Linked DNA regions of Canis lupus familiaris. The protein of the gene in region 2 purifies or fractionates together with the protein of the main gene of each other region. This does not show direct contact. Links are inferred from orthologs where the notes say so. Each region holds a gene or a part of one and is shown on either strand. Other genes may lie near its edges. The genes, in order: ASF1B, HAT1 and NASP.

What was found.
Region 1: the proteins of HAT1 (region 2) and ASF1B purify together in Homo sapiens (affinity purification with mass spectrometry; 6 studies listed by BioGRID and IntAct, counting the BioPlex papers as one, with this or other methods). This does not show direct contact. The link is inferred for Canis lupus familiaris from reciprocal best matches to the Homo sapiens genes HAT1 and ASF1B.
Region 3: the proteins of HAT1 (region 2) and NASP purify together in Homo sapiens (affinity purification with mass spectrometry; 3 studies listed by BioGRID and IntAct, with this or other methods). This does not show direct contact. The link is inferred for Canis lupus familiaris from reciprocal best matches to the Homo sapiens genes HAT1 and NASP.

What each region holds. Positions count from the first base shown.
Region 1 is NC_049241.1:48,802,655-48,805,856, reverse strand, and holds the end of ASF1B (histone chaperone ASF1B), read right to left. Parts: intron 2,358-3,202; coding exon 2,181-2,357; intron 1,799-2,180; coding exon 1,595-1,798; 3' UTR 618-1,594; downstream 1-617. UniProt on the Homo sapiens protein: Histone chaperone that facilitates histone deposition and histone exchange and removal during nucleosome assembly and disassembly. Cooperates with chromatin assembly factor 1 (CAF-1) to promote replication-dependent chromatin assembly.
Region 2 is NC_049257.1:16,620,647-16,624,397, reverse strand, and holds the start of HAT1 (histone acetyltransferase type B catalytic subunit), read right to left. Parts: upstream 2,621-3,751; 5' UTR 2,478-2,620; coding exon 2,471-2,477; intron 259-2,470; coding exon 154-258; intron 1-153. Other genes in the region: SLC25A12 (calcium-binding mitochondrial carrier protein Aralar1), read left to right, coding at 2,764-2,808. UniProt on the Homo sapiens protein: Histone acetyltransferase that plays a role in different biological processes including cell cycle progression, glucose metabolism, histone production or DNA damage repair. Coordinates histone production and acetylation via H4 promoter binding.
Region 3 is NC_049236.1:14,842,722-14,846,372, forward strand, and holds part of NASP (nuclear autoantigenic sperm protein), read right to left. Parts: intron 2,801-3,651; coding exon 2,691-2,800; intron 1,790-2,690; coding exon 773-1,789; intron 1-772. UniProt on the Homo sapiens protein: Component of the histone chaperone network. Binds and stabilizes histone H3-H4 not bound to chromatin to maintain a soluble reservoir and modulate degradation by chaperone-mediated autophagy.

The DNA.
Region 1 (3,202 bases), on a different chromosome or scaffold from region 2:
CTAGTTGAGAACCACTTTAGTAGAAGACCCAAACAAGGTGCCAAAGAGGGGCAGGGGGCCAGCTGGGCCAGCTGTCTTGACTTAGAGGGGGCTAGGCTGGTCTCAGGTCTATAAGCCAGTTTGCTGCTCTGCCTAAACTTACACAATGTGCACCCTATCAGGCAGCTATCTGCACCCATGTTCCTAGGTCCACCAGTTTCCAGGAAGGAAGAGTCAGGGCACTTCTGTGAATTACAGGGAAATGGCTCACCAGCCAAACCAGTCTACTGGGCTGTATGGTTACAAAGTAAGGTTAAGTAAAATTTAATAAAAGTGTTGCTGCGTGTGTCCTTGGAGCATGATGTTAATTTCTTCCTGTGGGTCAAGGTCAAAGTCTAAAAAATCACTGGTTATGCTCAATCCAGAACAGCTGGGTTGCTTAACTTTTGACAAAGAAAAACCCCTCCCTGAACCTCAGGCTGGAGTACAATTATGTAACCAATTAAGACTAGGGTAAGAAGCTGAGCAAGGGAACAAAGGACGGTCAGCCCACTGGCTGGGGCCAGAGCCCCTTCACGACATCATGAAGAGAGATGGACAAATCTGCTTCAGCCCACCTAAGATAAAAGCAGAATCAGTCTAGAGGAAGTGCTTTTTATTTTTAGATCAACCAAACATATTTAATATAAAAACCTTTTAATATACAAACTGTAATCACAATTGCATCCACGTAGCAGCGAGGGAATGGGGTGTTGCAGGGAGCATGGCAAGGGGAGAGGTTTTCAGGGTCCCTATGGTTTCCTGTGCCTGCAAGAGCATGAGGTCTTCGCAGAGGGCAGATTAAGGCAGGCAGAGGGGCCCTGATGCCAGCATTGAGACAGACTCCACCAACCTGCCACCTTCCCACCATGGCAGCCTCCAGGGAAAGCCAGATCCAATTAAGAGAGGACAGGAAGGTGGTTGTACGGAGTCAACCATCATTCCTTAGCATCCTGCTGAGCATACCTTTGGGAACAGACTTTTCCAGAGGCTGTTGGATTAAAAGACCTAAAAACTATCCTAGGAGGACAGAAATTGTGTCCAAGTCCACCTTCTAACCAAGCTTGGTTCCTTGCCTGTGACTCCAAAAAGCTGGGTGGATTTGCTCAGATGTTTGGGGAGGGACAGGAATGACAGAGCCTTCGGCTCAACAGGCCTGGAGCCTTGCCAGGCGTTGACCAAGAAATCCTCAAGGCAAGCCAGGGAGGTCTGTGGGAAGAGCTCTGGGTCAATGGTACTCACAGGAGCATGGTGGCAGAAAGGCCTGCAGGTGGAATTTATAGTGTGTGTGTAAGACAGAAAAGACACATGTCACAAAGAATTAAAAAGTGAAGTACCTGCTTCTTACAGGCCTGGGCAGTAGAGGTAAAAGCTGATCCTTCTGGGTCAGTGTTGGGAGAGACCTGAGGCCTGCTCCTTCCTCAGAACCACGTCTGGCTTGGGTATAGCTGATGGCCCCAAAGTCCTCTAGATGGCCTCCGTGGGATTGTCCAGGAGGCCCAGCTGCCCTCTCCAGATGTGCTAGGAGACTGGCCACAGTCCCGGCTGGGCCCAGGTAGGGCCTGGATTCCTCGAGTTAGATGCAGTCCATGGAATTCTCGGGTAGGAGCCCAGGAATGCAACCTGGGAGACCCAAGCCTTTGATGGGAGCACAGCTGAAGGGGAGGCCACAGCCCAGGGTGGGGTCCTGGTTCTCTATGGCCTCTAGTCTGTCCATGTTGTCCCAGTTGATGTGGAAGCGGGTCACTCGGGGGTTTGAGGCCAAGATGTTCCTCTGGAGCTGGGGCAGAAAGAGGAATGTCAACCCTTGTCAGCATGCCCCGTCATTACTCCCACAGAGCCAGGGCACCCCAAGACCCTGCCCCAAGGCCAGGAAGAACAGAGCTTACTTATTCCATCACCATCAACAACTATGTGTAGAACTCCCGGGAGTGCCTATGTACTGTGATTTAGGGCTGAGACCTATCTAATCTCAATTCTGCCAGGCGTGCTTCTGAGAAACAAAGACCTTTCTCTCTCTGGTTCTGGTCTGGAGCTCCAAGATCTGAGCAGGGCTTGAAAACCTTAAGAAGTGACCTTGGCTCCCAATTCCAATGACTCAACTCCCCCAGGTGCCAAAGAGCCAGCCTGTCCGAGGCAGGAAGTGCAGAGACAGGCCCCACCTGAGAGAAGTCTGGCTTCAGGGGTGGGTTCTCCCGCAGCTCAGGATTGGGGTATTCATTGTTGACGTAGTAGCCCACACGGATGAACTCCTGTCCATGGTAGGTGCAGGTGATGAGGACCACGGTCACACCCACAGCATCAGTCTCTGGGATGAGGGATGGGTTGGGGGCATCAGCCTAGAGGAAACACACCCCGTGCCTTAGCATTGATCGTACAGCCACACCTCTACCACTTAACACAATGATTTTCAAGCAACACATATTTACTGAGCCAAAAGGTATGGTCTCTGACAACAGGAGTTTCTAATCGAGTGGGGAAGACACAATCAATCTTGCAAATGCCTGTAAAATGCTCAGTGTGACAAGTGCCACAAAGAAGTAAATGTAGTGCTGAGAAGTGTAGTGAGGGGGGGTGGAGGGGTGGCATAAGATAAGGCTGTACAAGTGGGCAGGTAGGGACCAGGGCGCCCAGGGTCTTTTGGGCCAGTTAAGGGCTTGGGAAGGAGCAAGAATGTCTAACAGGAGGTAAGTGCTGCATCACTCCTGTGGTCTGTAAAGAATGGCATGCTGTGATGGGAGGAGGGCAGTTGTGGGAGCAGAGACTGGGCAGGTTACAGTCAACCCAGAGTGCAGACAGCGATTTACACCAGGAAGGAGAGGACAGAGGCAGACACATTTGGGGTGTGTTGTTATGGATAGGACCCGCTATATAACTGGTACAAAATAAAACCAAAACGAGACATGGGGTCCCTTATTCACAAATTAGCAAGTTTTAGCCAGCGACAGCAGAACGTTATACCAGGTGCCGGGCCCTGTGTGGCTGCATGAGCTGAATGCTCAGGAAGCCAGCCTTGCTCGTGGAGTGGAGCAGGTGGGCTTGCTGGTGGCCTGGCTACAGGTGGGTGAGGCGTTTGGGGATGGGATGAGGTTGCCTGGACTGGGGTGGGAGCGGTAGACTGGGAGGTAGGCAAGGATTTGATTTTTATATATTTAAAAATAAATAAATATTTATTTATTCTTAA
Region 2 (3,751 bases):
TAATGGACTGAATAAAATCTGAATGTGTTCAATACATGCAGAAAACTACACATTTACATGAACTGCTCTTACATAAAATTCTACCTCAAATTAAAAAAAAAGATTATATATGAACACACAGTACAGAATACCACTTAGAAATAGCATACATACCTAATTTTAGTTCAATTGCTGTGTTGGTGTTACATTTGTACTCCGCCAGCTTCTTCTCCACTGCACTCTTGTACTCAACCAAAAATTTCTCCATAGCACCAAATCCTAAGGAAAAGTTTTCAGAAGGTCTTGTTGAAATGGTTTAAATAGTCAAACCCACAGAGAGGGTTCTTATTAGGAGTGGAATAATAGGAAAAAATTTTAATGCTAATAGATCATAAAAGCACAGGTCATTCTCCATATATTCCTAAATAAATGTATTGAGTAGGACTGCCTTGTTATACAACAGGAAAAACATCATTTTTGCCAGAGGTGTATGAACGAGGCTTGCTTTACATAAATTAGTAAATCCAAAAAGTAACATGACTACTGACATTTCTTTATATTTAATACTAACATATATTATCTGCTAGGACCTATACCTAAGCAGCTTTTTAAAAATATAAAAAAGAGTACCACTGCTCAACCAAGACCTAAGATGAGAATATCCTTTGATAATTACAATAGCATTTTATCTCTAATACTTGAAAACTTCTACCCAGAGTATTTTAGATCAACTATTAAAAAACCATCAATTGATAATGCATAGATAATCTCAGGAAGGACAGACAAGAAACTGGTAACCATGGTTATCTCTAGGATAAGAGAGAAGGAATGGGGACAGGGTTAGGAAAGAAAATTTTCAGTGCATTAAACAAATGTTTTTTTAACCATAGGTGTACAAAGTCATAAACTACAGGCTACTGGAAACCAAATGGTTTTACTAGATCGTAGCTACCCATCAATATATGTAACAAGTAATTAAAAATGGAAGCAATCATTATTCAGATAAACTTTCAAGCAAAGATGACAATAAACCTCCGGACAAAATGAAAAAAAAAATTTGTAGAAATTCAGGAAAAAGGAAATCATGTGCAGAAATAAACATGCCATGAACTTCAGCAGGTGGTTAAAACACACATAAACAGAAAATAGGGAACATTTGAGGCAGTCTAAGATGAAGTCTGTTGTCAGAATTCCTGGAATCGCATCCAGCCTTCGTCACTTAACTTACTGGGATGTGTGAACTAGAACTAGAGCACATTGCTTGACTCCTCTGACCCTAATCTATTAAATTGGGATAACAGAACCCACTTCAAGGAGTTATATATAAACCACAAAACTTGACGTGTTTGAAATCATACATTGGCTTAAATCCCCACAGATCTATTAGATACTATATCCGCCCCATTTCATATTAAAACACTCAGGCTTCGGGAGAGGTTTACTTGCTTAAGTGCACCCAACTATTTAAGTGGTGAAGCACAGGTTCAAATTTAGGGGTAAGTCTTACTACGTGCACACCGCACAAAATACATATGCCCCCCTCTTTTACAGCGCCAGTGCACCCCCAAGATCCCAGAGTCACTCTCTGGTAGAAAAAATCCTTCTTTAAATATCTATAGAGCTCACGTGATAGCCTGTCTATCCAGCACATCCGTGGAACTGTAGTAAGACTACTAGGAAGGCACTGGGGGCGGAAAAAAAAGTACAAACTGTCCATCACTGCAAAAGATATGTAACTGGGGGGGGGGGGAGTATACACTCACACCAGAACAGTCTTAATAGTAATGATTAGTATTAAACGCTGTAAACTAAAGAGACTTTAAAAAAATAAAAATAAAAAAAAGAGAATTGAACGTGAAAATCATAGCATAAAATACTAAGAGAAGTTTAGATGAAGGAAGCATGCGAGGACCATCTTTCTCAAAGGAAATCTGAATCGATCCCAGGAATATTAAAGCGCGAGAGATTTAAGAAAAAAAAAAAAAAAAGACGACTGCGAAGACTCAAAGGGGAGCCCCCGGTGCGGGGCAAGGCAGCGATGCGCTAGCTCAGAAGCGGACTGTCGTCGAAGGGAGGTGGAGGGAGACCTGGAGCAGGAGGGCGAGCCCAACCCGAAACCCGGCGGGCGGGAACACAAGCAGCCCGCTGCGGCTCGGGCGGCAGGGGGGAAAGGGAACGAGCGGATAAGCAGGCCGCGAGGATCGGGCAGCTTGCGAGCCACCCCGCGACGCTCTCCCCCGGCGGCCGCGGCCCTCGGCCGGGGCCGAGCTCTCCGCAGACGGCGCAGCACCCCGACTAGTTGGGGGCGGGGGCACGAACCTCGGCCGACAGGGAGCTGGGCTGAGAGTTCCGTGCTCTCCGGCTGCCGCAAGCCTTCTGGAACCCAGGCCGGCGCCCGAGAGTTCCAGGCGGGCACTGTCACCACCGCCTCGGCGTTCTTCCCCAAACCTGCCCGCCCCCTCCCCTTGGTAAACTTTTCCCGGGAACTTACCCGCCATTTCCGAGCTGCGAGCACCCGCGGCTGAGGAAGGACGAATCAACCCGCGCGCTCCCTGGCCGGAAGTGAGCTCATTGCGTGACGCACATCCCCCCGCCCACCCCTGGTAGGCCCGCTAGCCAATGAGAGGAGGGGACTCGAGGCGCCGGGAGGTGGAAGCGCCTCGGGAGGCGGGGCCGACTCCGCGGGGAATGCTCCGACCGTTGCCTAGCCACGGCGAGCGCCGTCAGCCGCGTTGCAGGCCTGAACCCGCGGAGGAGGCCGCGTGAGGGGCCGTCTCTAGAAGGATGCGCGCGGGCTCCCGCGAGGACAGCTCTGGGGTTGCAGACCCGGTAATGCTGTTGTCTGTTTCCCCAGCCAGGGTTCGGAGACTGGTAGTAAAACTTACCCCTTTGGCCTGTACAGACACCTGAGGCCTAGGTATACATGTAGGTAAAATGTGGGGCTTGACTTGCAGGTGCGGGAGACATTTACGTTTATTTTGTTTCTATTTTTGCCATAGATTCCCGTCTGACATTGTTCTTCTTTGCTCATGCGTTTTCCTTGCAGCCCACAGTGTAATAGTCAGGGATCCTACTATCACACTAACGGTTACTAGGCAACCATTTGGAGCGCGGAAATTGTTACCTAATAATACCGCAAGCCGCCCGCTCTGCCCTACCTGTCTGTCTCAAGTCCCAGTGGCCTGAACCACATCACGGGATGCTTCCTGATTCGGGCCTTAGGGCTTATTAGTACCTCATTAACTGTTGACACTTGTTTGTCCCAGAAGATATTTAGATATCCATAAATACTCCCCAAGGTTGTCTAGACCCTTAAAATGCCCCGTCTCAATGAATGTTGGTTAATAAGCTTTACAGTGCTATTGCAGAGAGCTAAAATGGACCTGTGGGGGGCAGCCCGGGTGGCTCAGTGGTTTAGCGCCGCCGTCAGCCCAGGGCGTGATCCTGGGACCCAGGGATCGAGTCCCACGTCGGGCTCCCTGCATGGAGCCTGCTTCTCCCTCTGCCTGTGTCTCTGCCTCTCTCTCTCTCTCTCTCTCATTAATAAATAAATAAAATATTTCAAAATAAATAATCTTTCAAAATGGTGAGACTTGTTTCTTTACAAAACCACCTAATTTGTAGGTCAGCCAATAGCTGACCAGCAATTATGCTTATAAGAAAATAAGTAACTCTGAGAAAGATTAGTCCTGTGACTTTATGGTTAGTTGTAAGGAAGAAATGTAATGAAACTTATATGAAAATAAGAAATAAGATGAACATGAACAAGACG
Region 3 (3,651 bases), on a different chromosome or scaffold from region 2:
AAATGCTAGAGACTTATACATCTTGATGGAATTGAATCAAAATTAAACCAGTAATACTACACAAAGCATCCCACAGTTTATGTTCTAAGTAATAAAAACTTCAGTTTAGCAGCCAAAGCAAGCATGAAATGAGGGGGAAAGCAGCAAGAGGGCTAAATGTTAATTTTTTTGTTATCTTTTGGAGGAGGCTAATTTAAAACTAATGCAAATAAGCCTCTGAACACTTCCTGAAGACTAAAAGTAAAAGAGAGTCACCAGAATTCTTTCACTGTGGTTAACTGCCTTCATTTAAATGGCATGCCTGCTTAAGTGTACCAATTCACTGGATTCTACTGCTCTAATCCTGCTTCCTAAAGTGGAGAATAGGAACCATGTGAACAGTAAATTAAATAATCCAGAGGCATGCAAGTGAACATCCATTCAGCATTCTCTGCCAGCCTAGCCCACTATTTCCCTACCTACTCCACCAGCCCCCATCCACCTTTATTGGCTAGTATGTACAAGTTACTGATAGCTAGCCAAGTCTCAGAAATCACAGAGAAGGCCTATTTTGCAGTTAGTAAAAGTGTTAGTTTATAAGCCTGCTGAAGACTTGCATTTTGACTTGCTCAACTTATCACAATCTTCTTAAGCTATCCCCATTTTCATTTAGCCCTTTTCTAATCCAAAGGCAGACGGAAAATCCTGAATGGAAGGCTGACTTTTACCCATGATTAGTGAGTCAAATCCAGAATGTACTCCACCCACTGCAGCTCTTGCATATCCCGGTTACCTTCACCCTCTTTCATCTGTTCTTCTCTTTCTCGTGTTTCTTCATTAGCAGCTATCTTAACTTTGTCTTCAGGCGATTTCTCAGGAGCCCCCCGGGCTACCTTGGTCTCAACCCCATCTCCAGCTGCCTCAGACTCTTCTATGGACAGCTTAGTTTCCTCCTCCTGGCTAGGAACCAACTCTGCCCTGACCTCCTCCTCTAGTCCTGAGCCATCTTTTGTTTCTGTCAGTTCTTCTACATTAGTCTGTTGTTCAACAGGAGTCTGATCTCCTGCAGCTGACAATCCATTGACTATACCATCCTTAGGGAGAACTGTGGCCTCCTGTCCAGGCTTCTCAGAGACTTCTGACCCAGCTTCTGCAGCTGAGGCCTCTGCAAGCTCTATTGTCACCTTTGGTGACTCTTCAGCAGGAGGCATTTCTTGCCCTACCAGCTGCTCAAGAACAGCCCTTCCTGGCTCATTTTCAGAGGCAGCTGCTACCTGTTCCTTTGGCTCATTCCCACCCCCAGCCACTGGCTTGACTGCTGAATCTATAGGCTCTGCTTCTGCCTCCACTGCAGTATCCTGCTTTTCAAGAGTTGTAACAGGTTGCTCTCCTGAAGCTTCTTTTGGCTTCTCCTCTATGCTCACAATTACTTCTCCCTGCTTCTCCTGACCTTTTTCTCTGCATTCATCTTGCACGTCAGTTCCACAAACTGATTTTCCTTCCTCAGCATCTGGGGCTTCCTGTTCTGGCTTCCCAGAAGCGACCTTGGCTTCATTCAGTCCTTCTGGTGCTGCTATTTCTTTTGCCTCAGTGGTTTCAGTTAACTGATCTGGAGTGGACTCAACTTTTTCCTGTAGTTCCTCTGTAGGCTCACTTATATCCATGTCTTCTCTTCCACCCTTCTCCATTTCATTTTCCTGCTCTTTATCAATTTCAGGCTTTACCAGAGACTGGTCTTCTGGTTTTTTTGCTTCTTCTTTTTCTCCCATGGCGTCATAAACCTGTTCTCTCAACTCTTCCCTTGCTTCCTCTACATGGTTAAAGAACATGAAGCATAAACATGTCTTCGAATTTAGTGATAAAGGCATAAATGGAAACTAAAAATACATTCCCTTTAAACCCTCAAACAGCCTGGCTTAAATTTTAGCAGATGGCCTAAAAAATTATCTGCCCCCTTGAGAAAAGCAAAGGGAATAGTCCCAGATAGCAGAGCAACTTATTGCAAAAGAAACCCAAGCTCCTTAAATATTATTTTTACTTGAGCATTTTGATTATCAGTTAGGTTAAGAGATGCCAAGCTTTATGCTCTCCTCTAAACATTATAAACCTCCAACTAATATGTAAAACTCTAGTAGCCATACTCCACTAAGAAGTTACTTTTCTTAGACAAAAATGTAAAAATACTCCAGAAGTACTGCTATTAAAATAACTGAGCTGGGGATCCCTGGGAGGCTCAGCAGTTTGGCGCCTGCCTTTGGCCCAGGGCGCGATCCTGAGGACCCGGGATCGAGTCCCGCGTTGGGCTCCCTGCATGGAGCCTGCTTCTCCCTCTGCCTGTGTCTCTGCCTCTCTATCTCTCTCTCTATGTCTATCATGAATAAATAAATAAAATCTTTTAAAAAATTAAAATAAAATAACTGAGCTGCGCAGACTTTTAAATATTTGCATTAGAAAAACATTTAAAGTTGCTATATATTTAAAATGTCAATTTAAATGACCACATTTATTGGGGAAATTAAGTTTTCCTTTTACAAAAGCCTGCTGTCAATTTCAGTAATTGGCTATCTCCACACTGTAGTCTCCACCAGATGCAGGTACGACCCAATGCAACTTAGGAGAAACCATCCAGGACAGGGAGAGACCTACTCCCATCACTTGTACACAAGAAATAAACGTCGCATCTCCTGAACGTCACACGCAACTCCACGTACCATCTATGTTATCATTATTTTCTACCAGAGATTCATCTTCTGTTTTTTCTCCTTCCTCCTCTTCCACATGCACACCTTCTAGGGCATTTCCCAACACACCATTCTCCATTCTAGAACAAAAGGACAAAGCACCAAAGGTATGATAGTTAGAACCTAACGGTTTTTCTACAACAGAAACTGTAGTGCTATATTATAAAAGCAACAGTAAAACAATCAAGTGCAGAGAATATAAACTTTTAAGTATTCATTGAAGAAAAGCAGTGAGCAAAACTAATATAAATTAAGGCCATAAAAGCACTCAGAAAAAAAAAAAGCACACCCCTCATCCACCTGCCTAAAAAGCACCAATGACTCTTATCAAAAGATCAATTTAAAAAAAAAAAAAAAAAAGATCAATTTAGGGATCCCTGGGTGGCTCAGCGGTTTAGCGCCTGCCTTTGGACTGGAGTCCCAGGATCGAGTCCCGCATTCAGCTCCCTGCATGGAGCCTGCTTCTCCCTCTGTCTGTTTCTCTGCGTCTCTGTCTCTCATGAATAAATAAAATATTTTTTAAAAAAGATCAATTTATATTCACTTTACCATAGGGCCATATTTCTCAAACCTTGTATCTACCCCGTATTCCTCTAGTTGGCTTAAAAACATTCTGGCAAGACTTTCCTGACAAATCATCAAAATGACCTACAAAATTAAAAAACTTACCAGAACTGGATTAAATGAGGCATAAAATATTTGCTAGTTTGTGTACCCTCAATAGATTTTATTTTGGTTAATAAACTCCAGTGAAAAATACACAACTTTCCAATAGTTAAGACTACCTGTTTTATTTACTAAACATTTTCATACGGTAGTGTTTCCAAATTGTCCTTCATTCAGTCCTTGTTGAGGATGACTGTTCTGAGAGTGCTTTTGAAAATTCTCGCTCTAGGGGATCCCTGGGTGGCGCAGCAGTTTGGCGCCTGCC